Daphnia pulex: one gene and its partner. The protein of the gene in region 1 purifies or fractionates together with the protein of each later gene. This does not show direct contact. Links are inferred from orthologs where the notes say so. Each region holds a gene or a part of one and is shown in the gene's direction. Other genes may lie near its edges. The genes, in order: serine/threonine-protein phosphatase 2A 55 kDa regulatory subunit B alpha isoform-like and serine/threonine-protein phosphatase 2A catalytic subunit alpha isoform.

Region 1 (15,995 bases):
TTCATTCACCAAGGTGAAGGAACTTATGAATTAATCAGTTTCAATCTTAAGTGGCTTTCCTATACGTCGGGTGCAGTCACGACGGGGCTCCAAGGACGCGCATTAATGGCGCATCATTCAAAATCTTATCCGATTATTATTTTTTTTACCGTGGTCGTTGTTGGACAATTTTGGATTATCTTATCTGAATGAAGATGTGAGTCGTTTCAGCAGGAAGAAAAATGTAGACAAGTTTTTTTTCATTTTTATGTACTTACGCATCGTTACGTCTTTCCGTTCGCCGGGACGGATGAAATATATTGGAGAGAGTAAAAAAAAACGGAATTGCCGGAATCCGGAGCTCATAAATTCAATTCCATTCTGACGTGGAAGCGGCACCAATCCAGAAGAGACTATAGAAAATGCAGAAAAAAGGGATCAGCCATTCGTAGGGAAATGTAAGAAGAAACGGAGGGGAAAGAAATAAAAAGGCGGATCGTTAGTTGTATAATAAAACATATTCAACAGATTGGTGACATATGTTAACGTATGTTATTAACCGGTGGATTCTAGTTTTTTAATTTTTTTTAAATTTCAAATCTAATCGAAAAGTGAAATTGAGGATGCAACGTTTCAGCTTCTTTTGATTTAATATGCATAAAGTAATTGTACTTGTGCAGCGTACACACCCACGAAATGAGCATATGAAATTGTACTTTAGCTATTTTTATACTATCTTATTACTATACCTTTCTTCTTCCTAGAACTAAAAGCCTTGCAAGTTTCAGGAGAAGAAAACTTTTGTGAATCGTCAGCGTCTAACTTGGTGGTGGTAGCTCTCCATCGCAGGAGCCGAGCCTCAGCTGCAGACTCGCAAGTCGCAAAGCCTTTACCTTTTCATATTGAACTTGCATGTGAGCCTCAATAACCTCCCTTATAGATCAAAGAATATAAGGGACGACTCTTTAGCTCTTTTCTTTCCCATATGGAGTAGTTGCACGGCGGTTTCCCAACTCTATTGTTACAATAAGGGCAGACGTCGTCAACTGCGCGCACCATTTATTATATATCTCTCGGTGCAGAAGGAAATAATGGATGGAATATATAGTATAGTATATCGACTAGATTCGAGTTGCCAAAAGTCTTTGACAAAGATCGAAGAGAAAATGAAGAAACTTTTCGCTTTGATGGGCTTACTTCTGACGGCATCGAAACTTGAGTTGTTTTCTTTCGTTATTAACGTACGAGTCTAAATTCATGTTGGGGCGGCAGGTAACTAGGGCACTGTTTCTTGAATGGCTTTTTATAGAATTGAATCTTTTCATTTTCATTTCGAAACGGCCGAATATAAGGTTGAAACCTAAAAAAAATCTGTCTAATCAAATTGAACCTGCTGTTTATTTTATTTTGTTTTTTTCAAATCGATTTCACGTCGACCAACGCCCCGCGTCCATCCAACAAATCATCAGCCGACGGTAATTACGAGAAGATGGTGATTCGTACCTGCGCCCTGGACTCTGGTACACTGACACTTGACACGGAATTGGTCCGAATGTCCCATTGTGGCAGTTTCGTTCTGGATGGAAGGTCAGACTGATAGCCATCCAAGTCTAGCTCTTTCCCACATACATGCAATTCAACGCGATCAATATTATCATACGCTGTAGCAACACACACATATATATAAAGTGTGTTTTAACAGAGAGAGTCAATCCCCTCCCCCACCCCAAAAAAAAACCGGACCGTTTTCCCCAGTATAATAGTCCCCCCAGCCCCAGTGATGAATCCACTATTTTCCCGGCGAGCAATTCATCTTGTGGATAAAAAAAAGGCCTTGCGTGAGCTGCGCGAAAGAGAAGAATGGATTGAACACACAATAACTTTCTTCGCTCGTCTATGTATATCCACCCACAAGCCCTCCCCCCCCCCACGGCCCTCCTCCCATATTAAATGGAGGGAAAAGAAAGTGAGTGTATATATGGCGGCGGCGGCGGCCGGTAATCGAAAGAACTTAGACGAATAGCAGCTGTCGTGGTCCGTCTGCTGGGCCAGTAGCTATTAGGCGCAGTTGAGGTTTTCCCGTGATATTGGCCCGATATCGACCTGTCGCTGGGTATTTCGTTCCATCGATCAATCGCATGCGAAACCGAATTCATTTCGGATCTAAATCATCTACAGCAAAAATATCTATCTAGCTATAGAAATAATAATCAATACAATCTAACTGGTTATATATACTACATGTATTTTTTCGTAGAGAGGCCAATGTTATCATAATCTAGATTTGATTAGAGAGAGATGGTTGTTTGGTTATATTTTGATACGCATCAGCAGAGAGCTGGTCATAGCCTTTTTGTTATCATTTGATTATATTCTGATCTTTCTAAGTTGTGTCTCGTGTTTGTCTTTCTCTCTTTCTCTCTTTTGGTCTTCTTCGATCAACACTTCGTCCACACACTCGATCGTTACGCCCGGCGCCTTGTCTTTTTATTTCGTTCTCTATACAGACGATACGGGCGAAACGATTGTAGGTACGTTCCACAATTTCGATACTTGCTCATTTTCTATTCATATTGGATTATTATTACAACATTTATAAGCGTCGATCTAATATGTCTGTTCATTGAATGATGCGCCATTAGTTAGAGGTTGTGCGTTGGACTCTGGGACGACGACAATAGATACAGAAATCATTCGCATGTCTCACTGTGGAGGATTGTACTTCGACGACAGGTAAAAAAACGACCACCGAAAACCTTTCATCTTGACTGTTTGTTTGTTTCATATTGGCAAATCGTGTCGTTTATAGTTTTGGGCATCCTCGGAATGTGTTGTGTGTGTGTATGGAAGCATGCGGAAAGAGAATGCCGGAATGCGCATGATATATGTAGCGGTGTCACACATATCTGAGAGGTCCGTGTTAAGCGCATCTCAAATGGCTGTGCCTGTAGAGAGGAAACGTGTTGTGTGTCTGTCTGTTGGTTGTCTTGTTTGTGTTTGAGATGCGCATAATGTTGGCAGCAGCACACTGGTGGTGATGTGGGGTGGTACTCGCTGGATGTGGTTGTTTTTTTGTTTCTCTCCGGCGGATGTTGAGGCTATATACACTCAGCAGCCCGCGCGCACTCGGGATGTTGTCTAACCCATACTAATAATATAAGCTCTGCAGCTATATAGAGTTACACGACCCATCAATTTATTTATTTGACACGAAGAAAAGAAGCCGAGGGCAACAGATAACCAAACAAAACAAAACTAAAAATTGGGAGAGAGGAAACTTTTACTGTCATCTTATATTGTCGGCTGTTTTCGTTTTGTATTTTCCGGATTTCCCAACGATATATAGACTGCGTCGTCTAGCAACACATCGGGATCGTGCTCTCCGTACTCGTGTTCCGGCTTATAACAGCCTCTCACTCCCGCGTCTATTATACCAGTATAGTGGGCGGGTGAAATATAAAAAGTCTCGTCGGCCGTGCACTGCTGGATGCCGAGTTATCCAGCTTCGCCAGTATAGTACTATCCGGCCATTGAAATTCAATACGCGCGGGTTTGAAATGCTCGTTGAAGCGATTGATTGAGCCTGGGCGTCGTCCTTTCTAAACGAAAGAGATTGCCAGCATGAAGTTTTGAGACTATATCCTACTCGTCGGCATGGCTTGATGGATTACAGCTAAGCATCGCACATCATCACTATACTATAACAGACACTCTTATATTTCTTTGCTCCCAAGCAGTGCACAACCCCATTCTGCATTATTATTCTACACCGTGCACATTTCACTTTCTATTCCTTACATCACTCCGCCTCTATACACCCTTTCACTCTTCATTTGCCTTCAAATTGTACTTTCAACTGGACCCCATATTTTTCTCACCTTTAGATTTGTGTTTTGACAGAGAGACCGGTGGTCTATTTTTCACGACACCTAATGGAGTTTTGACTGTTCCGAATTTGATTTCAAAAATAAATTCGAAGGAATATTTGATTTAGTACCTTGTCCCGTTATAACGACGAAGAAACTCTCTCTGTTTCCCTCCTTAATAATAATTCAAGTGCGTGTTTGCATATGCGTCTGAAATCACAGAGTGATATGTTTGGTTTGATGTGTTTGTTGGTTTTGTTGGAACGATGTCTCTTTGGTGCTGGCCAATTGCTGATGCGTCTCCGTGTGCTATATTCAGGTACGTTAATGGCTGCCTTCAAAGCTGCGACGACGGCGACGGATGCAACAGTGCGCCATCAGATCGACCCGGCTGGCTGCGGATAGTTACGGCGGCCGCATCGGTCATCACGATATCCCTCATTTGGGCTAACGTGATGCCCAGCTATCACGTTTTCCGATAATCCATCGAAGAAGAAAAAAAAATATGAAAAAAAAAAGAATTTTTAAAAATGCCGCCGAATATTTATTTACTGCTAATTTGTTTCTGAAATTATATTCTTCAAGATAATATTCCGCTCGCGTGTAATTCTCTCGACGTTTTGATCATTTTTTTTTTCAGTTAATTCTATCCTCTTTTGATCAATTTCCGCTTCGTCTTCTTTTTCTTTGCTCTACCTATTACCAGTCCAATTTGATTGGATTTTGACTTTTCTCTGCTCTGCTCCCGATTCCTGATTCTTTGGCGAAACTTATTAATTTCTCTCTTCCTCTTGTCAGATGAAAATAGTATAAATATATATACATGCCGACGGTATTATACTGTGTTTGAAATTTGAAAGTCAATTATTCCTTTTTTATTCCTTTTTCCGTTTCGCCGATGAGAAAAAAAAAACTAAAATAAAATCTAAATGTGTGGTTTATAATTTATTAAAAATATATCCAACCAGGCTTATTATTACATAAGTAAATGTAAAAGCTGTATAGCGTTCTATATGATGTATAAGGACATAGCATCGACATATTCTTATTTACCTAAAAAAGTTATAGTATATTAGTTGTATAACATTGATTTATTTGTTCGTCTGTTGGCATCATTGTCTCTTATCATTTCATCTTTTTTGAAAGAAAACTCACGTCGAAGAGGCCATTTACGAACGTTATATTTCCAATAAAACTGCACTTTTGAAGGAAAAAAAAAAGAAAATTTCAATTTGGGCAATGCTCCTTATATATATTTTACATCTCCTTTTGCTCCCGCAATAGAGAGAGTCAGATGGCTCCATTATCTTGATGGGTTTATTCCTCGTCAATTCCTTTCCAGTTATTCTTATTGGTATTTTCCACGATCGACAAAAAAACAACAACCAATAAGTATAGTAAAAAACACTCTAGTTGGCTGTGTCGGTTGTCACAGCAGCAGCTGGGCAGCCAAGAATTCGATATCCCAAATGTCTATCTACACATGCTGGCATTACTAGCAGGATATGGCCTCAACAACATAATATATCCGATGCAAAATAACATAACCAAAAACAGACAGACACAAAAAAGAAAAAGAATAATCGATGGCTCTTTATATTATTCTTGGCTCATAAAATTCTTGTTTGTCAAGTCTCCACCGGGACTCTCTCTCTCTCTCTCTGGGTCGACTGTCTTCAAGTTTTATTTCATTTGGTTGTTTCTCTCTCTCGGTTCTGATCGAATCACGTTGTTGAACATCAGGTTCCCCACACAAGCCAACGACCGGTTCTCCCTGTTTGATCGAATCAGGTTCCACCTTGCGCACCTGACTGTATATACAAACACACGAGTCTTACTAGGCAATAGCCGACGGGGGTCCTATATATATAAAGAAGAGAGAAAGGGGGGAAAAATAAAAAGAGGCCAAGTGGACTGTGTAATAGTTTGACGTTGTAGGAAAACAAAATAATTTTCATGAAAATACAACATTGCACAGCAAATGAAATATTATTTCCAGGGAATATAAGGCTTCGTATGTAATACGCAGAGTGTTGGTGAATTATTAAATTTGTATGGGGTCCGGTGTTGTATATCTGATGATTGGAGTCAACGGGTACGAAACGATTTAACAACGGGGACGAGGCAGCCCAGCATGTGTGTCTCCCGCCTTCAGCTTCCAAAACATTTCTTTTTTTGTGTGCTGCATACAACGTACCGTACGGCACGTTATTTGATTATAGATTGGATCATCACTGGCGAGGACTTGCCTGGTGCTTTGAGAGATATTCCATCGTCATCGCCAGGCAACCGCTTTGTCTATTTGAAAGCTGGTCGAGCATAACGACGAATAACAACAGCACACTCACACACACACACACAAAGTACATAACAGTTTATACAAGGCTTCTTCTTCTTCCCACCTATATACCCAGCAGCAGCAGCAGAGAGAAACAAGCAAGCGCAAAAGCAGCGTCGAGTGGCTGATTAGTTGAAGACGCGACTCGGATGATTACATTCGCTCATTCACCCGAGTGTGTAGCAGCGCAGCATGTGTGTCGTTGCCAGTTTTCGCTCGTGCAGCTCCGAAAAGGGACGGGGAGAAGGCGATTATCAAATGGAAAGAAGAAGAAAATAAAAAAAAGGAACTTCAGTTTCAGCAACCAATTAAGCTGAACAGGTTACCCCTTCACTCTGTTTCTGCGCTCTTGGAAATTGTTTGTTATTCGATGACGTGATTTTCAATCTAGCGCATCGACCCGAGCCATTCATTATCAATGGAATTAACCGACGAGGATTTTCGCCATTGGTTCTTGTTCAAAAATTGGTGTTTCCCGTTGCGCAATAACAAAACGAATCGAAGAGGGACGGCTAAGAGCACAGAAAAAATGGGAGCGAATTTCAGAGGATTCCTGGAACGATCGTGCCATCTGGCGAGCGCCAATGACAGCAGGATCGTCCCGAACAACAATTCTTGACGCTATAGCGGGAAGAATCAAGAAAGGATTTAAAAAAAATGTAATCCATAAGATCAGTCCGAGGTGCGCACTCATCCCACACTCGAATGGAAAAAGGGTCATTTCTTCTTCTTCTTCTTTTCCATTTGGATCAATGGGAATAAAGGATGATGACGTAACAGTCAATCCCTCAGCTCGGGGGTGAGGGGATTTAGTGTGCCCCCAAACAGAGTGGACACGCGCGCGTGTGTATTTATATCGTTAAAGTTTCTGTTTGGTGACCCAGAAATGATCGATCCGTCCGAGAGTAAGTATAAGACTGTGGGCTATAAGAGAGTCGTCCCATATGACTCAACTGCGCTCCTTCGATTCAAACTCCTCCTTCTTTTGTTGTCCTTACTATTCCCGTTTTGCGGACTCGCCAAGCATGTGTACACACATTGATTGTGTGGGTGGTGTGTTTACTGTACACAGACACACAGACGTTGATGTGAGATTGCGGAGCTTGATGTCCATCTCGACGGTCGGGTGATGACGGCCAGTTTCCCAAACGTCGCGTCCTCGGAGTAGGAAAAACAAAACGAAAATATATACCGACGACAGAATCGCAGAGTTCAGTTGTTTGGACGGAGAGCAAAAGAAAAAGAAGTCAACAAGTTCTCTCGCTGTGATAAGAAGTTGATAGCGCCAAACCGTCGGGTGATGGGGGCGCAAGATCAAATAAATATTTTTTCCCGTTGCAAACTTTTTCCGTCGTTTAAACTTTTTACTTCTTCGTTTGTTATAATAAAAACACAATCAATGATGGTGGGCCCCTGTTGTTGAGTCGGCCAATGACGTCAGAATGCGCCCGATAAAAGGATAGACTAGAAAGAAGAAGAAGAGCCTTGATGATGATGATAATAAAAAAAGAAGCGCTCGGCGACATCACACACATTTTTATTTTGTGATTCAGCCGATGTGACATTGCGATGACGTCGTTTGCCTTTGGGTTGCTCGGGAAACGGCTGCTGCTGTGCCGAAAGTGGTGTGGCCATGCCAAACGTTCTTTTCCTTTTACCATCCGGGCCCTCATTTTTTGGCTCCGCCCAGCATTTACGATGAGATTCACCTGTGCGATCCAATTTACTTTTTTTTTTCTTTATTTATATTCAAAGAAGTTGGGCCCCGTGCTGTTTTTCCTTTCTTTCTTCTCCAGCTCACTGTCGATCCACTTTATTCCATTAGCCCGCGGTACAATCCTGCGTCTAGACTTGGCGATGTCTTTGATTCATTATTCAATTTGCTTAGCGCTTATATACATAGCGTACGCTAATGGAATAAGCGCAACTTTTCCCCAAATTTCTAAAAGTTGGCCCTTTATTCTTTTTATTCTTTTCTTCATTCAAAGTCGATTTTCATTCGCCGAGAAATGTTTATATAAACCGTATACGTGCAGACGTTTAGACAGTCTTTTATATCGGTAACTATAACCCCACCCTTGCCAGCCCAGTCCAACCTTTCGTTTGGTTTGATTTGTTTGGTGCCGTGGGCTGGCAGAGAGCGCTGGCGTCGTCACGTCGTGAGCCCGTGCGCCGCGCGCCGTCGCCGCCCGAGTCCGCGGGTGGGCGCTCTGCCGTGTTTGGTCGTCCAACTTCCCCATTTTCCAACAGTTGGTCCCGGTCGGGCATCAAGACAAGCTTTGTTCTATCTGCGTGTCCCGCGCGCCCTACTTCAAACAACAAAACAAAATAACAAGCCGCCGTTCGTTGTTTTTGTTTCTCCCGCCCTCCCCCCTTCTTTCCTTATTCAAATTCAAAACAACAACCTCTTTTCACGAAGAAGAAGAGGACCTTGTTCTAGCTCTTAGACATATCACGCGTCGTTCATCATCATCACCATCATCAAACGTGATAATCTCAAGTTCATCCGGTGTTGCGTCGACCGAAATCCGGGGTTATTCGGATCGTTATCATTAGACACCCGTGCCCGGGAGGGAAGGAGGAAGGAGAGAGACTTGAACGGAGAGAAGGAGGAAGTCGTTTTCACCGGAGAAATATTTTATTTTTGTTTTTTTCGTTCGATAAGAAATTCCCATCACGCCGGGGTTCGGCATTTGATATAGCCCCCTGCCTTATTTATTCCTTATTGGACAACGCCATGCTACTCCCGTTCCTGCGGATTTGTCACCACCTCAAATCATCCACGTCCATCACCACCACCACAGCAGTAGCCGATGCAAAGTTATTCCCATTCCCGGAGTCGATCCATTGCTGACCGCCAAGCGCGTTCACCTTTTCCTTTTTTTTCTTTTTATTTTGGTTGTTTGTTCGGGTTCTTCCCGATTGAGTTTATTTGATATTTTCCCGTTCACTCGGTTGACGTTCAACGACAGTGACGCAAAGTGAAGGCGAACTCCCGCGTGCAATCGTCACGAAACAAATTATTATTTCTTTTTTTTCCTGAATTGGTTGGAATATCTCCATCGGCGGCTGTTGATTCGCGCCCGCCATCGTAAATCAAACGGGCGTCCGCCTCTTATCGACGAGTGTCTGATACACGCACAGCAGCAGCAGCAGCAGCAGCACTTGTTTCTTTTCCAGACCTAATCATCGGTCGGGGCTCTCGTTTATTCACCAGACGCCGTCGCCGACGACAGTTTGACGCTCGTCGCAGCCGCCCAAAAATCAAACGAATTTTTCTTCTCCCGTGTGCGTATAGTGCGCGACGTTTTATTACGAGAGTTGTTTCATTCACGCACTTACATCATCTCTAGTGGACAGGAAAAAAAAAAAGCCAAATAATAAAAAAGAAGTTATTCCGCCGTCTGGTCTCCGCGACATTTTCCTAATCGAATTTCGACTGGGATTTTTATGACTACGTTTCTTACACAGACGAGAGGTAATGGCCGACACGATTTCATTTTTCCTTTTTTATTTTTTTTATTTCTTAATGTTTCTAAGTTTTCCCTTTCTTTTGTTTTGTCAATGGTGTAGTACATATATATATATATCGGTTATGCACATAACTTCCCTCCCCCACCCCACCCCCAACGGCTATTATCCGCTTGAGTGGCCGTCTCTACCTATACTTCCCCTTTCTCTCTACTAATTCCGGCCTCCCCCGGCGCTAGACATTCGTAATCATCTAGACGATGAAGGCAATTAGCTAATTAAACTCTGATTCAGGCGAAAAGAAACAAAACAAAAAAATACTCTCAAGCAAAGGTTCTCTTATTGCAGTCATGCACACACACACACACACGGGCAGTTATTAGATATTCGGCGTGTGCCGTCATTTCCATCATTCGAGACTGCGTGTAAACGCTAATGCGCATTTTGTTGACACACACGCTTGTGCGTTCGAGACGATGCTGCCGGACAAAAGGTGGTGCAGTTTCAGCTCTCGTGTATATAGCACTAGCACAGCAGCTAGGCTATAGTCTGCGTATTTCTTCGACGACAACAACACGCCGGGCCCAGCTGTTTTTCTCTCTCTCAGCGCTTTGTGTTGTTTTCTTCTTCTTCTGTTTGTGTCTGATATATTTCTGTTTCTGTCTGTCTGTCGTCGCTCCCTTGGAAAAGTTGAACGAAAATCATTTCCAATTCGATTGGCGCAGCGGCACCCCTTTTTTTTGTATTATTGGTTTTTTTCTTTTTCGCTTTCAAGCTGTTGGATTCACGTTACAATTGTTTCTTCATAATAATAATAAAGAAAAACAAGCGCACGCGCCGGCAGTCTCAGCCGAGCGCAGCAATCACGGCCGAAAGAAAAGGCAGTTCTCCTCGTTCCACTTAAAAGTTTAAATTTCTTCTTCTCGTCTCACATATACAGACACACCGGGCGCGCTCGAACCATTGTTTTTATTTCGTTTTGGATTTCCAATGATGAAATCAAAAAAGAAAAAAAGGACAAAAATAAAACAAATTTGGAAACGAAAAGAGAAACGGTTGAACCGCGTGAGCGTTCCGTGTTGCCATATCACGCGGGACTTTGAACTGTCTTCCAACCAGCGCACATCTAAGCAAAGAAGTATAGTATAGATTCAAGCGACTCACATAAGGGAGCGTGAGAGACAGTCACGCTGTGTAGTAGTACAGAGCCATAGGGGAAAGAGAGAAAGACAACAACAACAAGAATTAAAAACCCCCCCAAAAAAGAATTGGTGTTTTTCTTTTTGCCTTTTTCGGGAGAGAGAGAGAATGAACGACATGCAATCCCCCTCCTTTTTCTTCGTGTTTTTTTATTCTTGTTATCCAAATTTTTGTCTCGACTTTTGAATGAATAAGAGAGAGAGTTGTTTTTTTGTTTTTTGGGGGGTTCGGTTTCCAGGTGATACTGCTATATTGCATTACGTTGGAACGTGATAAGAAAAAGTTTTCCCGTTTATTAATCTATATAGACCTCGTTTGTAGTACTAGTAATAGTTGCGCGGGTACCCCTTTCTCTCTCGTCCTGGACTCGACTGGCCCTTTTTTTCCTATATGATATCAGACTCTATTACCATGCTATTCTATCTCTACTAGACATGGCGGGTTTTGAGCTATTGCCCCTTTTCTTTCGTCGTGGATGCAATTCAATTTCCCCGCGGTATTTGTTATTACGTGCATCGCCGCTCCTTGTTAACTTGGTCAAAGTTGAAACAAAAGACCCGTTATTGCATTATAAGGACGGCGCTCTAATGTGCTCACCATCCAGCAGCACATATAGAGACTTGCGGTATTATATTTGAAAGGGTCGACTGCTGAATAACGATATAGTAGTCCGTCAGGTAGAAAATGCAATATCAAATCAACTCAATGCAGACCGAAACCTGTGACTTCTCTGATGGGAAGCCAATTGAAAAAAGAAGAAGAAATCTAATGATGTCATGTGTGCCAAACTATCAACAGGGAAAAGAACCGAGAAGAGTTGAAGAAGAAGCCCCTCTTCTCTGCCATATTCTCTCCGTGTCCTACTTGTCCTTATTATCTTTCCTCCACGTCGTCGAGGATCCACACACACAAAGCCAAAAGGAGAAGGAAAGAATATAAGGAAGCCTGTTGTACAATAATGACGACTTTATTATCTGGAGGGAATCTACATGTATGGATTAGTCGACCTTTTGTGCTATCGAGTGGGAACATTTTACGAGCGGCTAACGGCATAGAATTTAAGACCCGTCAGATTAAATGTCCGCTAGGCAAATATTGTATAAAATTTTGGTCAGTCGACTCATTTTATTCAATCTTTCCTTTTCTTTTTTATTTCAATTTTCTTTTAGATTATACGATCGAGACGTTTTTGCGTTTGACAACTCGAGCTTTTTTTTTAATATATTGCCGCCCTATCTAGTGACTTGACAAGTGTCACGGCAAACATCTCTGTGCATAACACACTTGGCCTGCAACCAATGATTATGCAAGCCTCTATATCTTTATATGGCTGGCCCAGACCGTTTGATAAAAAAGGGAACTTTTTTTTTATGACGATATTAACCTCGACACTTTGATTACGCAAAGGATGACCCACTTTAAAAAAACCGAAAAATGTGTTTGTCTGTTTTGGCGGTAGTTTCGAATTGCGTCAATCGCCGAATTTTTAATCAATTGAAATTCACGTTGGAATAATAATTTGAATGGAAAAGAAAAATCTGAAAGGGGGCGATAAAGAAACCTGTTGTCACGAATGTCGCAATCAATGCGAGCAGACAGCAAAAGTGAAACAAAAGTTCTCAGCAGAGAAAAAGACTGAATCGAAATGCTCCAAAATTTAAAAGAAAGGAGCTTATATACGTAAAGTCTTTGTTGCATCGTGAATTCAATTGCACAATTCCGAACGAGCAAACAAAAATGGCACACACACATGTAGTATAGGTATTGAAATGCGAATAGTTTTACTTCAAAATAACTCGATCGTTCGTGACAACGTCAGAAAAAAGAAAAGGGAGAGGGGGGATCCAATCAAATCAAACATGAATTCAAGTCACAGCACAGGAACACACATAACCATAACAACCACACACAGCAATATAGAAATATTGAACGTGCCCATATCAAAATAAAAGTGACTGACATATTGGGTGAACTCCCGCCGAAGCCTCTCCCTCCTTAAGCTATTAGGTATATGCACATCCCGGTGCGCTAAGCCGAAACCATCGAAGCGGAAACCAAAATAAAAGGGAAATATATATACCTACACAATAAAGCCAACGAAAAACTTTTTCTCAAGTCTCGACGTCTAAAAAATTTGAAAAAAAAACTTGAAAAATAATAAGATCGGCAGCTTATAATACAGAGCAGCTACAGACGTAGTACTATAATACACACAGACACAAAGTCGTAACTGGGCCGGGAAATAAAATATCTATATACGGCGGAACTTGTATATTCTTACTTATATATACTATCGCTTATTGTGTAAGTGTTTGTTTAGACAAGTTCTGCGAGAGAGAGTAGCGAAAGAAATCAATTTCTTGGCGACAGAGAGAGAGAAATAAGAGAGAGGATGATGGATCACCTCATTTCTCTTTTATTTGTCTTTTCGTCTTATTTAGAGACTATTCCCCCCCGCTTGTAAAAGTTTTCCAGACCGTAGCAGGGCGCGGCTTTACAAAAATGAAACCTCAGCAACTCTCTCTTTATTTTTTATTTGATTTTATTTTATTCTTCCCACTCTTGTGCAAGTCGGAATCCATCTGTGTGCACTGCACCTTGTTTGAAGATCTCTCTCTTATTCTGCCGCAACGGCGGCGGCTCTCCACATTTTCTCCACAACGCGGGGCAATCCACTCGGAGTCTGAGGAAAATAAGAACGTCATCCGAAATTGTCAACAGAGTCAACAGTGTGCCGAGAGTTCAGTTTCTTTTTATTGACAACTTGGCTTGGAGGACTGATGCTTTGTTTGCCATTTGTCATTTCTCTTTTTGAGCTCTAGACGAGTTCGACCCTGGATGACTTAAACTTTTTACTTTCGACAGATTATTATGTTACTGGCGGCTGAAAATAATCTGGCAACAGCAGAACAAACGTCATTTTGAAATGGATGTCGTTTTTGGTTTTTCGGTGTAAGATTTTGAATTTCAGTTTTTTTTTCCGCAATTCAACAAAAGTCGTAACATGCGACGCTAGACAACGAGAGAGAGAAGTACGTGTGTACACTATAGTGTTTACACGGAAGAATCCAAGTCGTGGGCATCCAAGTGGGACAGAGAGAGACGAATAATGGGGCAACGAAACTTGATAGCTAATGCGTTTCAGACGAACGTCAACTTCTTTTTCAACTATTATTGACTCAGAGTGGAATGACGTAGTAGTTTCGTCCTGATTCCCCCTCCGGCAAGAGAGAGAGAGAACAGCAGTCAACACTATATACACACATCAAGAGGACGAGGATGACCTTTCATTCAGATTGGCAGTTTTCGATTGATGGACGAAACACGTAATCTCGAACGTATCGATCTCTGATTTATTCGAGAAATAAAATTGAGCCAAAGAGGTTCTCCCCCCTCTCCACTAGCGACGATGGCAAACAAAAAAAAATGGAACGATATACACAATAGGAAGATAGGAAAAGATGATTGAAAGATGGACGAGATGGATGTCTACATCGATAGAACGTCTATCCACTATCTATCGGGAGGAAGACCTTGTTAGATTTTCGGAGGGGACCAGCTGGTTTCATTTCGATCCTATCTCTCGTCCATCATCAAGGAAGTCTCCGTCATTTGCCTCAATTTGATGATCTCTTCCTCTCCCAATGTGTACCAGCTCCGGAGTATAGAAAGTCTTATTTGCGTTTTTTCTTCCTTCCTTCCATATTCCTCCGGGTTGGAGCTGCTGTGTATAGTATCCGGGTAGTAGTATGCGTATCCTCTTTCGCTTTTCCCGTTCATAGTAAATGCTGTTTTTCGCCTGTATGTACTCACCAAGACGACCGAGGTTACTTATCTTACCCACCTTGACAAGAGGGGGGCGATATCCTTTCCTGGCGAGATATGATATACAGGATTTACCCGAGGTTGATTGCCAGCCTGGCCTCCGCTCAGTGTGTGTGTCTATAGTAAATATTGATCGGCCGATGGATATATGTCTCTTGACTGAAACGATTTTGCACCTCTCTATATATATGTGTATTATGGGTCTTTGCCAACCCAAACAAGCGAGATCCTCCCCCGTGAAGCGATCCTTCCTCTCTCTCTCTCATTGAGTATATAGTTGGGATCTTGGTGGTTGATCGCTTCTCTGATCCAATTGTCTCATTCGAGTGGTTGGGCTGACGTGTCACTCAGCTGTCACCATCAACGTCTTTTGTTAGATCCTCACGGCTAGTCTGCAACTGACTGGGACCTGATCCAACTCTCGTCTCTCGGCTTTGATCTCTCCGCGAGCGCGCACACAAGAAAATAGCGGAAAAGAATTGATCGAACCTGTGCCTCCTTAAGGGTGGCTCCCAAATGAGTTTAACTTTTACTTTTGAGCTCCTTCATATAGAAAATCGCAGGAGCAACAACCCAAAAAAAGAAAAAAGTTCCGTAGAGACGCAGTCGGTGGTGTGTCCATTGGGAAAGAAAAGGGGCGATCGATCCGGCCGTGAAGAAAGAAAAAAAAATGGCCGAACGATCGGACAAAAATGAAAAGTCTAAAAGTGAACGAAAAAGGTGTAAAGAATTTAATTTAAAAAAAATGCCGAATAATAGCCGAGCCGGGAGAGAGAGGTACAAACAAGAGCCCGATAAGTGCGCTGGCATGAATAACCCAAACAAGGGCGGAATAATTTGTAATCAATTGAGATATTGTGCCGGTATTAAGATGCGCGGGCAGGAAACGAACAAGACGCTATACAGCATCAACTATTAAGTGCGGAGATTGTCGTTCCGCCGAGCTGCTGCTGTGCTGTGCTGTCCACCTGGGCCGACAGCACACAAGTCGAGTCTTGGCATCGATCCTTGGCTGGTTGGCGCATCGGCTTCAAAGGTCATATACGTGTATAGCTCCGTGTCTCCTAGCTGGTTGCAATCTTTTATATATATGCCTCCTGGAAGCAGTTCTCTCATTCATCGATTTCTTTCAAGGGAAAACTGTTTGAATTTTTCGGCGCGGATTTTCCAGGCCCAGCAGCAGCAGCTTCTTGGTATTCTGTGCCGTATACATAATCTTCATTTGAGGCCCCACCGCCTACTACTGCTGCTGTGCGGCCATTAGGAGCCCGCGTTGTTTAATCTATTAGCTAAAGCACTCAAAGCCTTAAACCGGT
Region 2 (16,319 bases), on another chromosome or scaffold:
AAAAGTCGATCCTCTAACCTGGTTGTCAGTCCTTTTGAAACTAAAAAAGGATCGAAGCAAAAGGCTCATAGATTTATTGAGAGTTCAGAAGACGAGTCTGATGATGAGTCTGATGAAGAAGATGTGTCATATCGTGTGAGAGGAAAACGTCTTGGATCTAGTGAAAAATATTCAACTAGTCAAATTGGAGACCTGGATGAATCTTACCAAGTAATTCAAGCTGGAAGGCGTCAAGCAAAATTGGTGATTCAAAGTTCTGGAGAAAATTCTGCTGAAACTTCTGACATTGAAGGCTTGGCAATTCAGAAGGCCAATGCTTCTGATAGCTCTGACGAATCCGCAGAAGATTCTTTTGGTTCCTCCGTTAAGAAGAAGCCAACCCGAAATCCAATTGATAGTGATTCCGATTCTAGTGGACCACCGGTTAGAGGAAAAGCAATTGACACTGACACTAGTGAAGAGTCCGATTCTAGTGTTGAAGCAACACCGCGAGTCTATCGTGAACAAACTGGAAGGAAAGCTGCATTATCATCCACTGAAGATGAGTCTGAGGATAATATTAGGAAAGAGATGACTCCTCGTATCCGAAAGCAATTCATCGACAGTGACGTATCTACTGAAGAAGAAGTAAGGGTTCCTCGTATAAAAACTCCTCATGTCCGAGATCAAATCATCGACAGTGACGTATCTACCGAAGATGAGGTTGAAGCCATTGCCCCACGGCTCCCTTCGTCCTCTCGTATCCCTACACCACAAGCGATTCAGCGTGCTCTTCGCAATACCAGTCTTGATAGACACGTTTCGGGGAATGATTCAAACATGGATCCCATTAACGCTAATCATGTAAGTTGGCCGTGATTAAAGCTGCCTATGATTAGACCTTTAATATATTTTTTATTTTATTTCAGGAAATGTCGAGGAAATCGGCCGATAAAAGATTTTCGCCTCCTGAGCCTCTTGTAGAGGAAGAAGAAGTACCGATCCAAGATCTATCCAATAGTATTCTTGAGGTATCAAGTACTGTTGTATCTTTTTCGAGCCCTGAAGTTGAAGGAAAAGAACAAGATCAGAGCATAACTGAGTTATCATCACCGGAAATTGCACGAACTCTTCCTGTTCGACTCTCGGCAGCAGAAATAACGCGGATGCGTGAAGATCTTGAGCGCCAAAAACTTCTTTTGGTATCGTCAAATTTAAAATCATTGCCCGATGGAGGAGAAAGGCTCCGAGACAAAATTCGTAAGCTGACTGAACAGCTAGAAACAGCCAACAAACTCGGTGTAAATCCCCCAATGCGCCCCGTTCCAGTTTCATCAGTAGCGTCAAGTGAAGTCCAAGAAGATGAACTTCGAAAACAAATACAAATGAAAAAGGTTATTTTCCAACAATTATTTTCTGAAGATAAGATAAATTTTATTATTGTTTTTTCTAGTGGGCCATGGGTAACGCAAATAGCGACGACAAGGAGCGCCTGCGAACTGAAATCGGTGCCATGGAGGGTCGTCTTATTAAGTTGTCAATTGCCAATGCAACCAACGCCGGCAGCAGCAGTTACGGCTCAAAACATTTGGATTTCCAAAATGACACGCAGAATCGCCAATTAGCTGTAAAACCGAAAAAAACCCAACTTCTTCCTGAAGCTCCCAGACTAACCGAAATGCAGAAGAAGATGTTTGCCGATAATGCGGGAAAGGAACTCTACCAGAAAACGGAAACCGGTTAGTAATAATAGTCATGTTTTTTTTTTTACAGCAACTCAAATTCTCCTCCTTTTAAATAGGTTACATCTCTGCTGCTGCCCGTCGTGAGGCTGTTTCCATCACTATGGATTCGCTTGAAAACCTTCATCGTTCTCTCGCCAGTTGCCCAAAAGAAACCGATGTGGAGAGTACGCCCGCCTGCCTCACAGTTCCTCTCTTGGCGCACCAGGAGCGCGCACTCAAATGGCTTTTATGGCGCGAGACTCAAATTCCTGCTGGTAAGCGACGTGATTACTTGTTCATTCAGTTATTCCCTAAACTTAATTTATTCTTATTTTTCTTTTAGGTGGAATATTGGCGGACGACATGGGTTTAGGCAAGACACTGACCATGATTGCATTGATCGTGAAACAAAAGGAACTAGATCCTCCACCACCTGCGTCCTCCAACATTTGGCTCTCCAAGACCGTCAAGATCAAAAGGTCATCTGGTACTCTCGTTGTTTGCCCCGCCAGTGTAGTGGGTAAGTGTTATCCAATTAACTTAGTTTATTAAACGTAGCTTCACAACAATCAAGTGGCAAGAAACATGGAAAGAGTTAATGAACCAAACGGGGAATGGGAATTTCTTTGTAACATCAGGACAGTGAGTGAAATAAGTAACAAGTTCCTCGTAGAGAATTTTTCTCGCCTGCAATGAAAGAAAAGCGATTATTGAATTTGTAAAATTCTAGACATTCGTTTAGACTTACGTTTTACGACTGTGAAAATCTTCTGGCTAGACGATTCTGTTTGTTTCTTCCATTTGTTTTTTTAAATTGACCAAAAGACTGTCGACATCGACATCTTGGTAATCGATTCGTTTGGGTGTCGTTTGACTTGTCGGGGTTGGTTGAGACGGTGAAATCGGTACGTTTTCGTGTTTCACTTTGGCATTGTTCAAACGACGTTGACTGAAATAACCACTGCGAAGGATCCGAGAGATGATTGCCTTTCCATCGTAGTACGTAATGTTAGTCCCTGGAACTGATTTTCTTTCTCCCTCCATCAGAAATTTGAAATGCTCGGATGCTTTTAAGTTTTCTTCGATCTAAAGATAAAACAACGTGGTTAAAGTAAACGATAGTAATAGTGTCACAGAACGAGTTTCTTTACCGGTGCATTCATGACAAATTCAAGTAGAGTTTTAGGACTTTTAGTTGAAGTGGTAAGTCGATGAAATGTCTTCAAAATTTCGATATCTTCCTGGCTTAGTTGTGGAGCCCCTTGTAATCCGCGAAGAAAGTCTTGACGAATGGCACTACCAATACTCTGTGTGCTCAAAGCATGGAGCATTTCCTAATCAAAAATATCTCACATTCAATAGAGGATACACAAGTTTCAATTTAGTTGAACTTACCTGAACGTCGATGACTTGCTCCAAGTGGTACAAAACCTGCTGTTTTTCGTTTCGCCTTTGTTTTGCAATACCTTTAGGTCTACTAACGAGGGTTTGAGAAAGTATTTTCGAGGTTGAATTCGGAGACACAAAAGCACCTGGTGAGCTTAACGACTTTTCATTTTCACGTTGCATTTTGGCTCGTCTCGAACACGACAATAAATCGACTACCACGTGTGAATGCCGGCAACAAAACTGAATCTGCGAAGCAAGGTCACCCTCTACCTAACCTCCGGTTATGGGGGGGGTGGCCTAGGGTTACACACTCGGAAGGGTTGGGAAAAGGCGCGGCTTACGTTATGGCGTCCTAAATTAGTTTGCACGTGGAAAAATCGTACTTGTTATTGCTAGATGCATTACATTTTTCTCCAAAATAAATAGAATGCATTTTGATTAGATAAAAGATGAATTTCAATAAATTCTCAAACGCGTTTTTATGAGTCACAAGTTATGACTCATTTTGATTCACAGTTAAAACATTTGATTGCAGTGAAGCTTTTATTTGAACAGTGATATGCATTTGTGTTCATGTATTTTTAAATTATCAGGCCAGTGGGAGAAGGAAATTCATCGTCGCTGCAAGCGAAACTCGTTGAGTACTGTTATTTTTCATGGACCAGATCGTAACAAGTTAGCGTCCAAACTACATCAATATGATGTTGTAATCACAACTTATCAGGTACACTTACTCATTTGTGTAGTTGTGTCTTTGTCTTATCTGCATACGTTTTCTGTGTTCTTGTTTATTTTTAAAATTTCAAACATTTCTACAGATTGTCTCCCGCGAAATTGCGAATGTGAGTTTGGACAAAAAGGATGGCGATTCTAAGCCTATTGGAGATTTTGATGTGGAAACCGATGCCAAGGCCATGAGCCAGTCAGTTCTGTTGCAGATCGCATTTGACCGAATCATTTTAGATGAAGCTCATGTGATCCGTAATCCTAAAGCCGGAATATCGCAATCAGTGTGCAGACTCCGAGCTTCCCGTCGATGGGTCGTGACTGGCACGCCAGTACAGAACAAAGAGCTGGACATGTACTCCCTTCTCCGCTTTCTTCGTGTCACGCCGTTCGATCAGCTGGCGGTAAGACTCGGAATTAATTATTGCTTCTTTGTACCTAAAGTAATACCTAATCAACTACAGGTATGGAAGCGATGGGTCGATTCTTCAAAAAATAAAAACGAACAAGCCCAAGGACGTCTTCAGCTTCTGATCAAAACTCTCCTCTTGCGTCGAACCAAAGATCAAAAGGTAGAAGGAAGCGAAAAACCGCTAGTTGCTATGCCTGCCAGGTATGAATGCTGGTTTGCTATTGCAGTTGCTGCAACATTTTACACGTTTTCTTTTTAGGGAGGTACACACTCACAACGTAGAGTTATCACAAGAAGAGAACGAAGTCTATCAGAAACTCCTCGCCTTTTCACGCAAGGCACTAGAGGAATACATCAAAAATCAAGAAAACAAAATTAAAGAAGGTTACGGTTTCACCTATGATCGCCGGGTAATTTAAATGAGTCATAACAAGTGGTTAGTTTCGTGAAGCTTACGCAATCCTTTTTTTAAATTCTAGAATCTTCCGGAACTTCCCCAAAAGAACGTGACGAAACAGATGATGTTGGTGCTCCTCCTACGCCTCAGACAGGCTTGCTCTCACCCCGCTTTGATTCAAACAATGTTGGATGCCACTGACTCGGAATCTATGGGGAGCGAAGACGCCAAAATCGAGGAAAACGATCTGGATTTGATTTCTCAAATGTCCACCATGACGTTGGACAATAAACCGGGCGAGCCGAAGAAAGAAGAAACCAACTTCTTTACCCATACTAACCCAGTTTTCGATCGCGATAATATGAGCAGTAAAATGCGGTACATTACCGAGGAGGTCAGGAAAGTTGTCTCTCAAAAACAAAAAGCTGTGGTGGTCTCGCAATGGACATCCATGCTGGATCTGTTTGCCCAGCATTTTCAGCGTATGCGCATTCGCTGCCATTTGATCGCAGGTAGCGTTGCTATCAAACACCGAACACAAATCGTAGAAGATTTCAATAGCAATCCAGACGGTGCACCGGTAAGATTTATATTTTTATTTCTTCGTTATTTTTATTTGATTAACGAAATCTAGTTTTATTAACAATTTCCTTTGCTTTCAGGTTATTCTTCTATCCTTGGGTGCTGGTGGAGTTGGCCTCAATTTAATTGGAGGAAACCATATTTTCATCGCAGATATGCATTGGAATCCTCAGCTTGAGGCTCAAGCCTGCGACAGGGTGTATCGCGTTGGCCAAACTAAAGATGTCCACGTACACCGAATGATAACTCAGGGAACTGTAGAAGAAAGAATCCTTCAGTTGCAGCAGGAAAAGTTGGCAATGGCTAATGGCATACTTACTGGAGCTGCGAAGTTGGCTACTAAGGGTTTAACTATTGATGATTTGAAAATGCTCTTTAATCCTGGCCCGCCTGCATATGCCCCTAAACCCATGTTAAATCAACCTGAAGTTTAAGTGAAGTGATGTTATTCCCTTCATTTATCTATCACGTGTTATTTAGATGCGTTCTTATTTCGGTTTCTTCCCTTATATTAAATCCAGTTCGAAATTGATAGTTTTCAATAAAACAAAAAAACACTCAAGTTAAAAAAGGAAATGTATTTTTCATACTTTGTAATGTATTGAATTCAATTCAGCAATAAATAAATAATTGATGTCCTGATTCATGTTGTGGCAAATAACAATAATTTTGAAAAAAGGTTAAAAGTCAATTGTACTGATAAAACTAAGACAACAACATTTTTTACAATTTTAAAAATTAAGCATAAATAATAATTAAAATGCAATATTAAATATTGGAAGCATTCAACCACACCAATTTCTTGGGGATTTGGTCAAAATAATGGTAAACGTCAAAATAGAAATTCGAAAATTTTTTGTTTTGGTATCGTCAATCTGAATCGATTATTAAGATATCGATTAACATTGAATGACAATCAATGAAAACGAATGACAATCTATTTCGAATTAGTAAAAAGTAGTATCAAGAAAAAAATAATGCTTTGAAACTGTTGATTTGTGTTTTATGAGAAAGAAAGAGATTAAAGGGAATATAATCAATGTTGAATCGCAGCCGTTGCCGAGACGATGTGACGTCACAACGCTCTAAGCCTGCCCCTGGTGGCGAAAGTCTTCGTTATGAAAAGAAGCGGCCATTTTCCTATCTAGGAAAAAGTGGCAGAAAGGGGGTGGCCACTGATACATGTTAAACCCGCTCTGTTAAGTGTAAGCAAGCCCAAGAAGTTACGTTTGAGTTTTCGTGGCCCCACCGACACATCAATTTGTCTGTTGATACTTTTGTATTGCACGAATTTGTAAAGTATTCACCATGGAAGAGAAAGCAGTGGTTAAAGAACTTGACCAGTGGATTGAGCAGCTTAACGAATGCAAGCAGTTGGCCGAGAACCAAGTCAAAACCCTATGTGAAAAGGTTCGTACATTCAACGTTTTTTTTTGCATCAATGGAATGCTTTAAATATTTATGGTTTGTTCTATATTTGACAGGCAAAAGAAATTTTGGCCAAAGAATCAAATGTTCAGCCAGTCAGATGCCCTGTCACCGTGTGTGGTGATGTCCACGGACAGTTTCATGACCTGATGGAGCTCTTCCGAATTGGAGGAAAATCTCCAGATACCAACTACTTATTCATGGGAGACTATGTTGACAGAGGTTACTATTCCGTTGAGACAGTCACATTACTTGTTGCCCTCAAGGTGAGTTGCTTATTATTCCACAGACATGACTCAACTAATTATCTAGAAGTAGGATATTAAGAATTTCAAGGTAATACTTGGAATTTTTTTTTTTGCAAGTCATGTAATCAATAAGATTCAAATATGATATGACTAGGTTTGTTGACTATTTGGATGATGCAATTGAAAGTTGCTCCTTATGGTGGGCTTGCCCAAAGCTTTGTGGAGGCTTTTATCTAATTACGCAGCTGATAGCTTTTGAAATATTTATTGATTTTTCAATTGAGAATTAGATTAACTTTTTCCACTGTACATTTGTATGACTGTTACTAAGGTTGCTTTTCCATTACATTCAATTTAGGTTCGCTACCGTGAACGAATTACCATTTTGAGAGGAAATCACGAGTCTCGTCAGATCACACAAGTCTACGGATTTTACGACGAGTGCCTAAGGAAATACGGCAATGCTAACGTTTGGAAGTACTTCACCGATCTTTTTGACTATCTTCCTCTGACAGCACTTGTCGACAGTCAGATTTTCTGTCTTCACGGAGGACTTTCCCCTTCTATCGACACTTTAGATCACATTCGATCTCTCGATCGTCTCCAAGAAGTTCCTCACGAGGTTAGTTCGCTGTCTGAAAACACTTTGACATCACAGTTTAGTCAACCTATACGTCTCGTTTGCTAAAATAGGGCCCCATGTGCGACCTGTTATGGTCCGATCCAGATGACCGAGGTGGCTGGGGGATTTCCCCCCGTGGAGCTGGCTACACCTTCGGCCAAGACATTTCCGAAACTTTCAATCACTCCAACAACCTGACTCTGGTCTCTAGGGCTCATCAACTTGTCATGGAAGGATATAACTGGTAATGTTTTGTCTTACAGAAGACATATCTGTTGGTACTGGGGCTGAACGTTTGATTGCTTCATTAGGTGTCACGATCGCAATGTGGTAACGATATTCTCTGCGCCCAACTATTGTTACCGGTGCGGCAACCAAGCGGCCATTATGGAACTGGATGATTCATTGAAATACTCCTTGTAAGTTTTTAAACAGCCATTTTAAATTTACATCTAGAAGACATTTATTGATTTTCTTTCTCGTTTGTGAAATTACAGCTTGCAGTTCGATCCAGCTCCAAGAAGAGGAGAACCTCACGTAACCAGGCGCACGCCGGATTACTTCCTTTAAGAGCAAAAAAAAAAAAATATCGCGGAACACCGATGAATTTTTCTCCTTTCTTCCTTCAATTTACTATCATTATTATTATTTTTTCTTCTCTTTTTCTTTCATGCTCGGTTCATTTCTCTTGTTCCTCGCTCGGAGTATAGATTTTACTAAGTCGAGGTTTAAGAGTACCCTGCACATCCCCACTAAAACGTCCTCTTTATGCGCCTCTTCTTGAATGGAAAGCAAAAAGATCAACATCCATACCCTCCCCCTCTACCCCTTAAAAACACACACACACACTATTCCCTTACAGTCTCTTCTTTTTTTTTTTTTAAAATTGGAGTTCGTGATTTGTTCTTTACAAATATTAATGAAACATGGAATCTTCTCTTTTTGTGTCGGAAAAAAACCTCCTTATGTCCCCTCCCTCACACCCCGCCCTCCCTATTTTCTCGCCCGTGTCGTAAATGCGTGAGAGAGTAACGTGCAATTGGTATATTCTAGTATCACTTCCCTTTTTCTTTTGTCCCCTTTCCTACCTGCCCGTTGATACCCTCGAACCATCTTTTACGATTTATTTAAGAAAAAAGAGTTGAAAGAGTGAGGGAGAAGTAGGTGGAAGAAAAGGAGAGAGAGAGCGCGTGTCAGAGCCAAGAGCAACTGTATACCGACAGACGAGCCGCCCAAACAACCAACAAAAAGATTAGACCACGAGCATCAGATTTCCATTGTACTAACGCTTTTTTTTTTTGATGACTTGTCTCGAAAACATCAGATGGGGACATGCTGATGTCGCTGTTCCCCTCTTTCCCCCCTTGTGTCCTGTACTAATAACTATCTAGATGGTGACCTTTGAACCTTCCCTTCCTCCTCCCTCCTCGAAAATAAGACCACGCGATCCAGTTCACACTTAAGGGAAAAAAATAACCAACCAACAATGAAGTAAATCCAACAACAAGAGAAAACAAAAAAACGAACGAGCGAGCCGAAGAAGAGTGGTTTTTAAATGTCGTGTCCCGTCACTGTCATTTGTAGCCAACAAAAAAAAAATGCTGGAAGTTCACCTCGATCAATACAAATCGTAATCATTCACCAATTCTTTCAGTTGGATGTCGTGCACTCTCATTCCGAACGGATGGCTGACTTTGCTTGCGATGACTACGAGTTTTCTTAAGTCTTTTGCAGCGATTGATGTACAAAGTCGCCACAGGGCAAAGTCTCTTTAATGTTTAAGCAAAATGTACTCTAAATCACGTAGGTTAAGCAAGAAACCTGACACCGGTTGGAGCTTCTGGAATAGAAAAAACTGCGTAGCTAATGTCGTTTGCTGCAATGTCGCAACTTTTCGATGTGTTCATCAACCAACTTCGAGTTTAGTTTAAACGTTAGTCTTGATCGAGCACCCATCCGGGTGAGAAGATTGAACTTGCTGATTTCTTTTTTATCCAGCAAGTAACGGTAAAACAAAGCTTACATTTTTTAAACAAATTTTGAATTTAGATCTTTATCCGTACGTTATGAATTGTTATTGGAATTGCATGTGATGTAATGTCTTTTTTAAATTTTTTAGATCGGGTGAAAATGGCGGTTTGGGGCATTTTGCTCACGGCTGCCACCCTTTTGGGGCCCATGGTAAGCGGAGACAAGATCAAAGTGAGCCAGCACTGCGTCACGTCCAACTCTTCCATTGACAGCGTTTATGCTTATGCAGAGAAGGGGCTCAACAGCTCAAGGACATTACGCCTTTCGAAATTCAGCGGGAAGGTGACATCCATTTCTGATTATTATTCTCGAGGTTACCAGTTTCTAACAGTCTGGCAAACCGCCAAGGGTGCGCATTCCGTATCCTCTGACACCTGTTTTATTTTGTTTTCTTCTTCTTTTTATGAAACAAAAGGTGATGCTCCTCGTTAACGTGGCAACCTACTGAGGGTTCACCTATCAGTACCACGAATTGAATGCACTACAAGAGGAGTTTGCCAATGATTTGGTTGTTTTAGCTTTTCCTTGTAATCAATTTGGACAGGTATTACTATTTTTAGAAAATGCCACTAACCTCTCCTGGGTGATGTAAAAATCGATTCTTCAATCTGATAATTTTTTTATTGAACTTTTCACAGCAAGAACCCGGAGGTACAGATGAGGAGATTCTGAACGGGATTCGTTACGTCCGGCCGGGAAACGATTTCCAGACGAACATAACGCTTTTCCGCAAGATTGATGTCAACGGCGCTAACGAACATCCCTTATATTCTTATCTGAAAGTAAGTTATGCTTTTTTTTATCATCACGACGTGTGACGTCGTAATACTGAGTGGTGCGGATCTTGATTATCTTTTTCCGTTTTTTAATAACAGAAAAGTTGCCCGACGACTCGTGATTTTTTCGCACCAGCCGCCAGACTGGATTACAGTCCAATGCGCAACAACGACGTCCGCTGGAATTTCGAAAAGTTTCTAATCAGCCGCAAGGGCAAACCTGTGAAACGTTACGATGCCAGTTCTCGGGTCTCGGATATGCGCGATGACATTGAATCCCTTCTTTTCCCCTCTCTCGTGTAGATGTTGTTGTTTATGAATCTTATTTTTTTTTCCGCTTGAGGGAACTTTTAACTTGCTTGTAAATGTTTTAGAAGCAGTCGTGTTGTTGTGAGGGGGGAAAACGAGATTGGCGCGCGTGACGTAATGACACTCCAGATCTCAACCGCCCGAAATATGGCGGCGATTTGGAGAAGAGGTTTGAAATTCGGTTCGACTTGAATTAAGGATGTGACGGACGAGAGATCATTTACCATCTCGCTCTCGTTTTCGTGCTCCCTTGTGCATTCGGGGGCCGTCAGATCCGGTTTCAGTTGCCGGTTTTGTCCGCTCGAGTCTGTTTCGTACTTTCCCTCACGACGGCTGTGGATGAATACATGGAAGTTTAAGCTACAAATGAAGCACAGCAGTTTTCCTTTTTAAATGATGCATTTGAACTCGAATGGGGCGGTGCCAGTTGACAAGATATTGCCCCGTCCTTATTAGTCTAATCGTTGGGGTTTTTTTCCCAAAAGAAACGCAATAACGCCCCTCTAAAAGTTAATTGACTCTTCCTGTATGGCGACTATTTCAACCACAGCGAATCTCGGTAGCTGCGCAAGTCGTTCTCTGACTCGCAGTTCGTGGCTATGGTGGCCGCCGCTGCTCAGATGGTATTCGAATTTTTAACATTTAGTTTTGTATTGAATTTGTCATTAATCGGAGCATCTTGTTTTCCCCTGTTTTAGATGAGCGCCATTAGCGTCGTGTTGCTGACGCTGATGCTGTGGGGTTGTCAAACTTTCGCTGAAGATGATGTCGTTATTGAGCTTCGTAAAAGTCAACCATGTCATTGTAACGACACCATTTTTCGATTTTCCGAGAAACTTCTGACTAAAGATACTGACATTCGATTGTCAAGTTTCAGGAACAGGAATGGCAAACAAAAGGTAACTCATTTATTTTATTGGATTTTTTTTTTCACTTCAATTAAATTTTGGGGACAATTCAGGTATTGCTGGTCGTCAATGTGGCGACTTACTGAGGGTTTACCGAACAGTACATCGAACTGAATGCACTACAAGAGGAGCTTGCCGATAATTTGGCCATTTTAGCTTTCCCTTGTAACCAGTTCGGCAAGGTAAATCCGCTCCGTTTCCCTATCGATTCAACAATCAAATTGTCCAACAACTTTCTTATTTAAATGACTGCAGCAAGAACCAGGTGGCTCAGATTTGGAAGTGTTGAACGGAATCCGTTACGTTCGACCGGGTAACAATTTTCAACCCCAAATGAAACTATTCAGAAAAATTGATGTCAACGGCGATAATGAACATCCTTTATTTTCTTATCTGAAGGTGAATAGTGTCAAGTTATTATTTTGTTTAGCTATTAATGTTACTAATTGTGTTACAAATTTACAGAGTTGCTGTCCGCCTACTCGAGATTATTTCCAAGAAGCCACCAAATTGTATTACACCAAAATTCGCGTCAACGATATCCGCTGGAACTTTGAGAAATTTCTTGTTAATCGCCAAGGGGTGCCCGTAATGCGCTATGACGCAAGTGCTAATGTTACGTACATGCGCCAGAACATTGACCAACTCGTTAATTCCTAAAACTTCTTCTCCCTTTTTTTTTTAAATTTTAATTTGACATTTTCTTTTTTCTTGTTACGTTTTTCTGTACATAATATTTCCTCTCTTGTTTCTCTGCATTTCAAATGAGCGCTTCGAAGGTTTGTACGTAATTGACATATGATCCTCTAGATCTCAACTGTCTGAAACATGGCGGCGGTCTAAGGGGAGAGGCGAAGCTCGGATGGCTGGAGATGAGCCCGAAACCTAGAGTGAATTTCTGTTTGTTTTTTGTCACTAAGGGAGCTCTTTTGTGCATAAGGGCAAGTCGGGTCAAGTTTCCGGACCACAGAGTCTGTCATTCGACTGCAAACCCTGCGAATTATCTCTATTTGTCGCTGCTCTATATTTGATTCACTAATTCAATAAACGTACGATTATTGTCAAAGACCGAATGAGGTAAATAACGTCTCGGCTCCAATACAAGAAATTACGTATTGCCTGTTGTAACACAAAAAGTAAAGAAGAGTAACTTGATCCATCTTAGTAATGCGAAACAACAGCAAAACTTAACATTCGAGTGTCTTGAAGGACACGTCCTTTTCGAACCAAAATCTTAATTTTATTTTTAGTAAAGGATTTTGAACATGGATTAAATTTAGCGCATACAAAATATCCGCAAGTTTTTGTTGTTTTTGTTTTTTACATATGGGGAACATGGATGACAAAATTCATTGTTGGGAATTGGGATCAACGTTGAGCTTTATTTTTAATTTTTTATGCTCGTTGATGACTTGATGGTAATGTTTTAATAAATCAAAATTGTTTGAGGTCAATTCCAAATTTTACACTGGCAAAAGAAAGAAAGAAATAAAAAAATTGGGGTTATTTTGCTGTTTCCACTTTTTAAATGATGAATTGGCATCGCCGCTTTCTCGATTCTTAAGGAAGTTCGTCTGCTGTGCAAAGTTTAATCAAAACTGAGCGTCCAACTCTCCATTGTCTCGATATTAAGTTAGACGATGAGGCTGCCAACACAGTGTTGCTGTTAAAGTTGAAACAATTCGATTACGATTAGTTGATTCTGGTGAGATGGAGATTAATGTTGAAAATACGTTGATTTTGAGGCATTGGTTTGATTGATTCTAGAGAGGTTGACGTAATCAGAGGAATAATTTGTCATCATCATTATTGATCCCTCATGAGCGTGAAGCCGTGAATAAACGATCCTGGCACTTGGCAAGATGAAGAAGACAAAAGACACCATCGACATTGAAGAAAATACCAAACGAACGTTTCAAAGTGGAGGCAGCAGGTAAGAACTTTTTTTGTTTCTATCTCGAATTTGAATTGCGAATTTTTGATCGACATGTGACCCAGTCGTGATTCCCATTAGCAACCGTTAAATGAACTAACACGAAATGATTAAATTTAATGACCGTTGCTATTCTTTATCTTCCTTTTGCGTGAAATTGTCGTTTTATTTTGTAGATTAAATCCGAAAAAGGGAATGACATTTACTGTACGTAGGGACCAACAGCGTTTCATTGTCTTACTTATTAAAAATAAAGAAGATGTGTAGACGCATCGTTTTCGTGTTGATTTCAAGTGAAATTTCAAAATAAAAAGCTGAATCAATTTTTATGTAGAAGAAATCGTCACCCAGATTCGATCGGCTTTTTTCAAGTCCAGCGTCAATTGGACAGGGTCAACGGACTGTATTTATTAGTGACTTTCCTGTTCTCTCGAACAAAACTCCCCCCAATTACATTCCCGTTCAAATTCAGATCAGAACTGAAAGAATAATAATAATCCCATGAAGAAGATGAAATCCACACCGTTCCCGCGAATTAAAAGAAATAAATTCTCTGTCGCGGTGCCGTGAATATCCCCGTGGATGATGGAACACGAATCATGCCCTTGACGTATGAAATCGAATCTGTCAGATGTATTTTATGAATTCCAAGAAGGCCGGTGAAAATCGAAAATTCGTATATAGACGAAAACCGCTGCTTGTAATTTACCTGTTAATAAGCGATTAACTTCCTTCCTATTTCTGTGTGAGATTTAGATTGCTACCCATTCAAGAACCCGGTTTTTAGTCGTTATATGGAAAAAGACACCCTAAAAAACTGCTAAATCCGAAATGACCATTTTCTGCTCTACCCAAATGCAAATGAAAACAGGAGAAACGACGGTTAACGGTTTGTATGAGGGTATTACGTACCGTATTACTTTATCTAGGTTAATGTCAGCTGAAACTGGTTGAGAAATCAGATTTTGGAATGAAGAACGAGTTTTTTTTTCTTTCTGCTATTGCACGCTAAACCAATTCTAAACCACGTCCATGTTTGTAAGTTGCGAACTAAATAAGAAGGTGAATGGTTAATTTTAGAAAGAATTGTACTTTCATAAAAATTGTCCTGTAAACACAAACCGAACGACGATGAAATGAAATTGTTAACGAGACCACAGCAGTCGTGTCTAATTTTGACAGGATATTGAAATTTGGAACTGATTTGATCATTAATTTCTTGATTAAAATCGTACACATTTTGATTTAAACTGCCAAGTTCTTGAGTTTTGCTAATAATCAATGAAAGCATTTTGATTTTCGCGTAAAATTCAAAAGAATCCTCTAGCTATTTATTTTCATTTACAAATTTTAATTAACTCGTGCTTCAATGCTATTTTCATTAGGCATTGTATACTTTCACCTATAGTACATAAAGGGGGACAAAAGGCGAAAGGGAAACTGTACAAAAACCGGTTAGTTTAAAGAAGAAGTGAAAAAATGACGCCCATTTTCATTTTCGTGTTCAAAATGCTATGGGAAAATAATATTCAATTGGGTCTAGCTATTGATCAAGTGTTGTTCCCATATTTCATCCTGTTGTTTTCCCGGATAATTTTAAAAATTGTCAAAGAAAATGACTGAAAATGTCATTGAAGTATCGGTGGATGTGCTCTCCCATTCTCACCGAATTGCTAACGAAAACAACTGCCCAAGTGATTCTTGTGTTTACGGTGTTCTCGTCCGCAACGCGACCAAGACATTCGGATCTGGAAGTAAGAAATGTGCAGTTCTGCAAGGACTGAACTTGTCTGTTAAACGAGGATCAATGTAAGAAACGCCATTTCGTCCCAATTTTATTTTGAATTCCGGGAAATTGCAATGACAACATTCAGTACGGTAGGGTAAACTAAACTAAAACTATGTTTTTTTTTTTTTTAATATAGATACGGATTGCTAGGACCCAGCGGCTGTGGAAAGACGACACTGCTAAGTTGTCTCGTCACTTTACGCTCCTTAAACAGTGGGGAGATTCAGGTGTTGGGACACGAACCAGGATCGCCGAAAAGCGGAGTTCCTGGACCGCAGATTGGCTACATGCCACAAGAATTGGCGCTGTACGGCGACTTCACCATCAAGGAGACACTGACATACTTTGGTCGCCTTTACAAATTAAAACCGACTTTTATGAAATCGCAATTGAAATTTCTGACCAGTTTATTGGATCTGCCAACGAGTAATCGTTACGTCAAGACGCTGAGTGGCGGACAGCAGCGACGCGTCTCGTTCGCCGTCGCTTTGTTTCACGATCCTGATTTGCTCATCTTGGACGAACCGACAGTTGGCGTTGATCCTGTACTAAGGCGCAGGTAATTTTGTTCAATTTGCCATTGTTATTCTAAATCATTCAAATTTTCTTATTTGACAATGCGCAGCATTTGGAACCACCTTGTCCGCCAAAGTGTCGACCATGGCAAAACGGTGATCGTCACGACTCACTACATCGAAGAAGCAAGACAGGCCAACACTGTATGAACAATTTCATTTAAATCTTATCAATACTCGTAATATAAATGCTGTTGGATTTGGTTGTTTTTAGATTGGATTGATGCGTTGCGGTCGTTTATTAGTCGAAGATTCGCCCGATAATCTGTTAAGGAATTATGGACTCTCCACATTGGAGGATGTTTTCCTTCAACTCAGCAGGAAGGAAAATTCAAAAAATCCAGAAGTCGAATCTACAGAAATTGAAGCAAATATGGCCAGCATGATTCCAGGTTCCAGTGAGTCAGACCCCAACACCGGCGTAGCGCAAACTCAGTCATTTCATGAAATCGTCACAGTTTCCGTAACGAATTTGGACCGTCAGTGTGACA

What was found.
Region 2: the proteins of serine/threonine-protein phosphatase 2A 55 kDa regulatory subunit B alpha isoform-like (region 1) and serine/threonine-protein phosphatase 2A catalytic subunit alpha isoform purify together in Caenorhabditis elegans (affinity purification with western blotting; 3 studies listed by BioGRID, with this or other methods). This does not show direct contact. The link is inferred for Daphnia pulex from reciprocal best matches to the Caenorhabditis elegans genes sur-6 and let-92.

The regions. Positions count from the first base shown.
Region 1 is NC_060020.1:1,074,165-1,090,159, forward strand, and holds the start of serine/threonine-protein phosphatase 2A 55 kDa regulatory subunit B alpha isoform-like, read left to right. Parts: upstream 1-8,428; 5' UTR 8,429-9,633; coding exon 9,634-9,661; intron 9,662-15,995. Other genes in the region: uncharacterized protein LOC124192179, read left to right, coding at 1,449-1,566, 4,165-4,327. UniProt on the Caenorhabditis elegans protein: Probable regulatory subunit of serine/threonine phosphatase let-92.
Region 2 is NC_060026.1:13,482,226-13,498,544, reverse strand, and holds serine/threonine-protein phosphatase 2A catalytic subunit alpha isoform, read left to right. Parts: upstream 1-6,288; 5' UTR 6,289-6,517; coding exon 6,518-6,619; intron 6,620-6,693; coding exon 6,694-6,903; intron 6,904-7,243; coding exon 7,244-7,507; intron 7,508-7,578; coding exon 7,579-7,751; intron 7,752-7,818; coding exon 7,819-7,926; intron 7,927-8,004; coding exon 8,005-8,077; 3' UTR 8,078-9,148; downstream 9,149-16,319. Other genes in the region: uncharacterized protein LOC124203690, read right to left, coding at 2,478-2,789, 2,855-3,037, 3,099-3,272; transcription termination factor 2-like, read left to right, coding at 1-843, 909-1,373, 1,433-1,718, 1,781-1,978, 2,047-2,223, 3,686-3,816, 3,911-4,222, 4,283-4,431 and 3 more; ABC transporter G family member 20-like, read left to right, coding at 15,080-15,273, 15,390-15,812, 15,879-15,972, 16,043-16,319.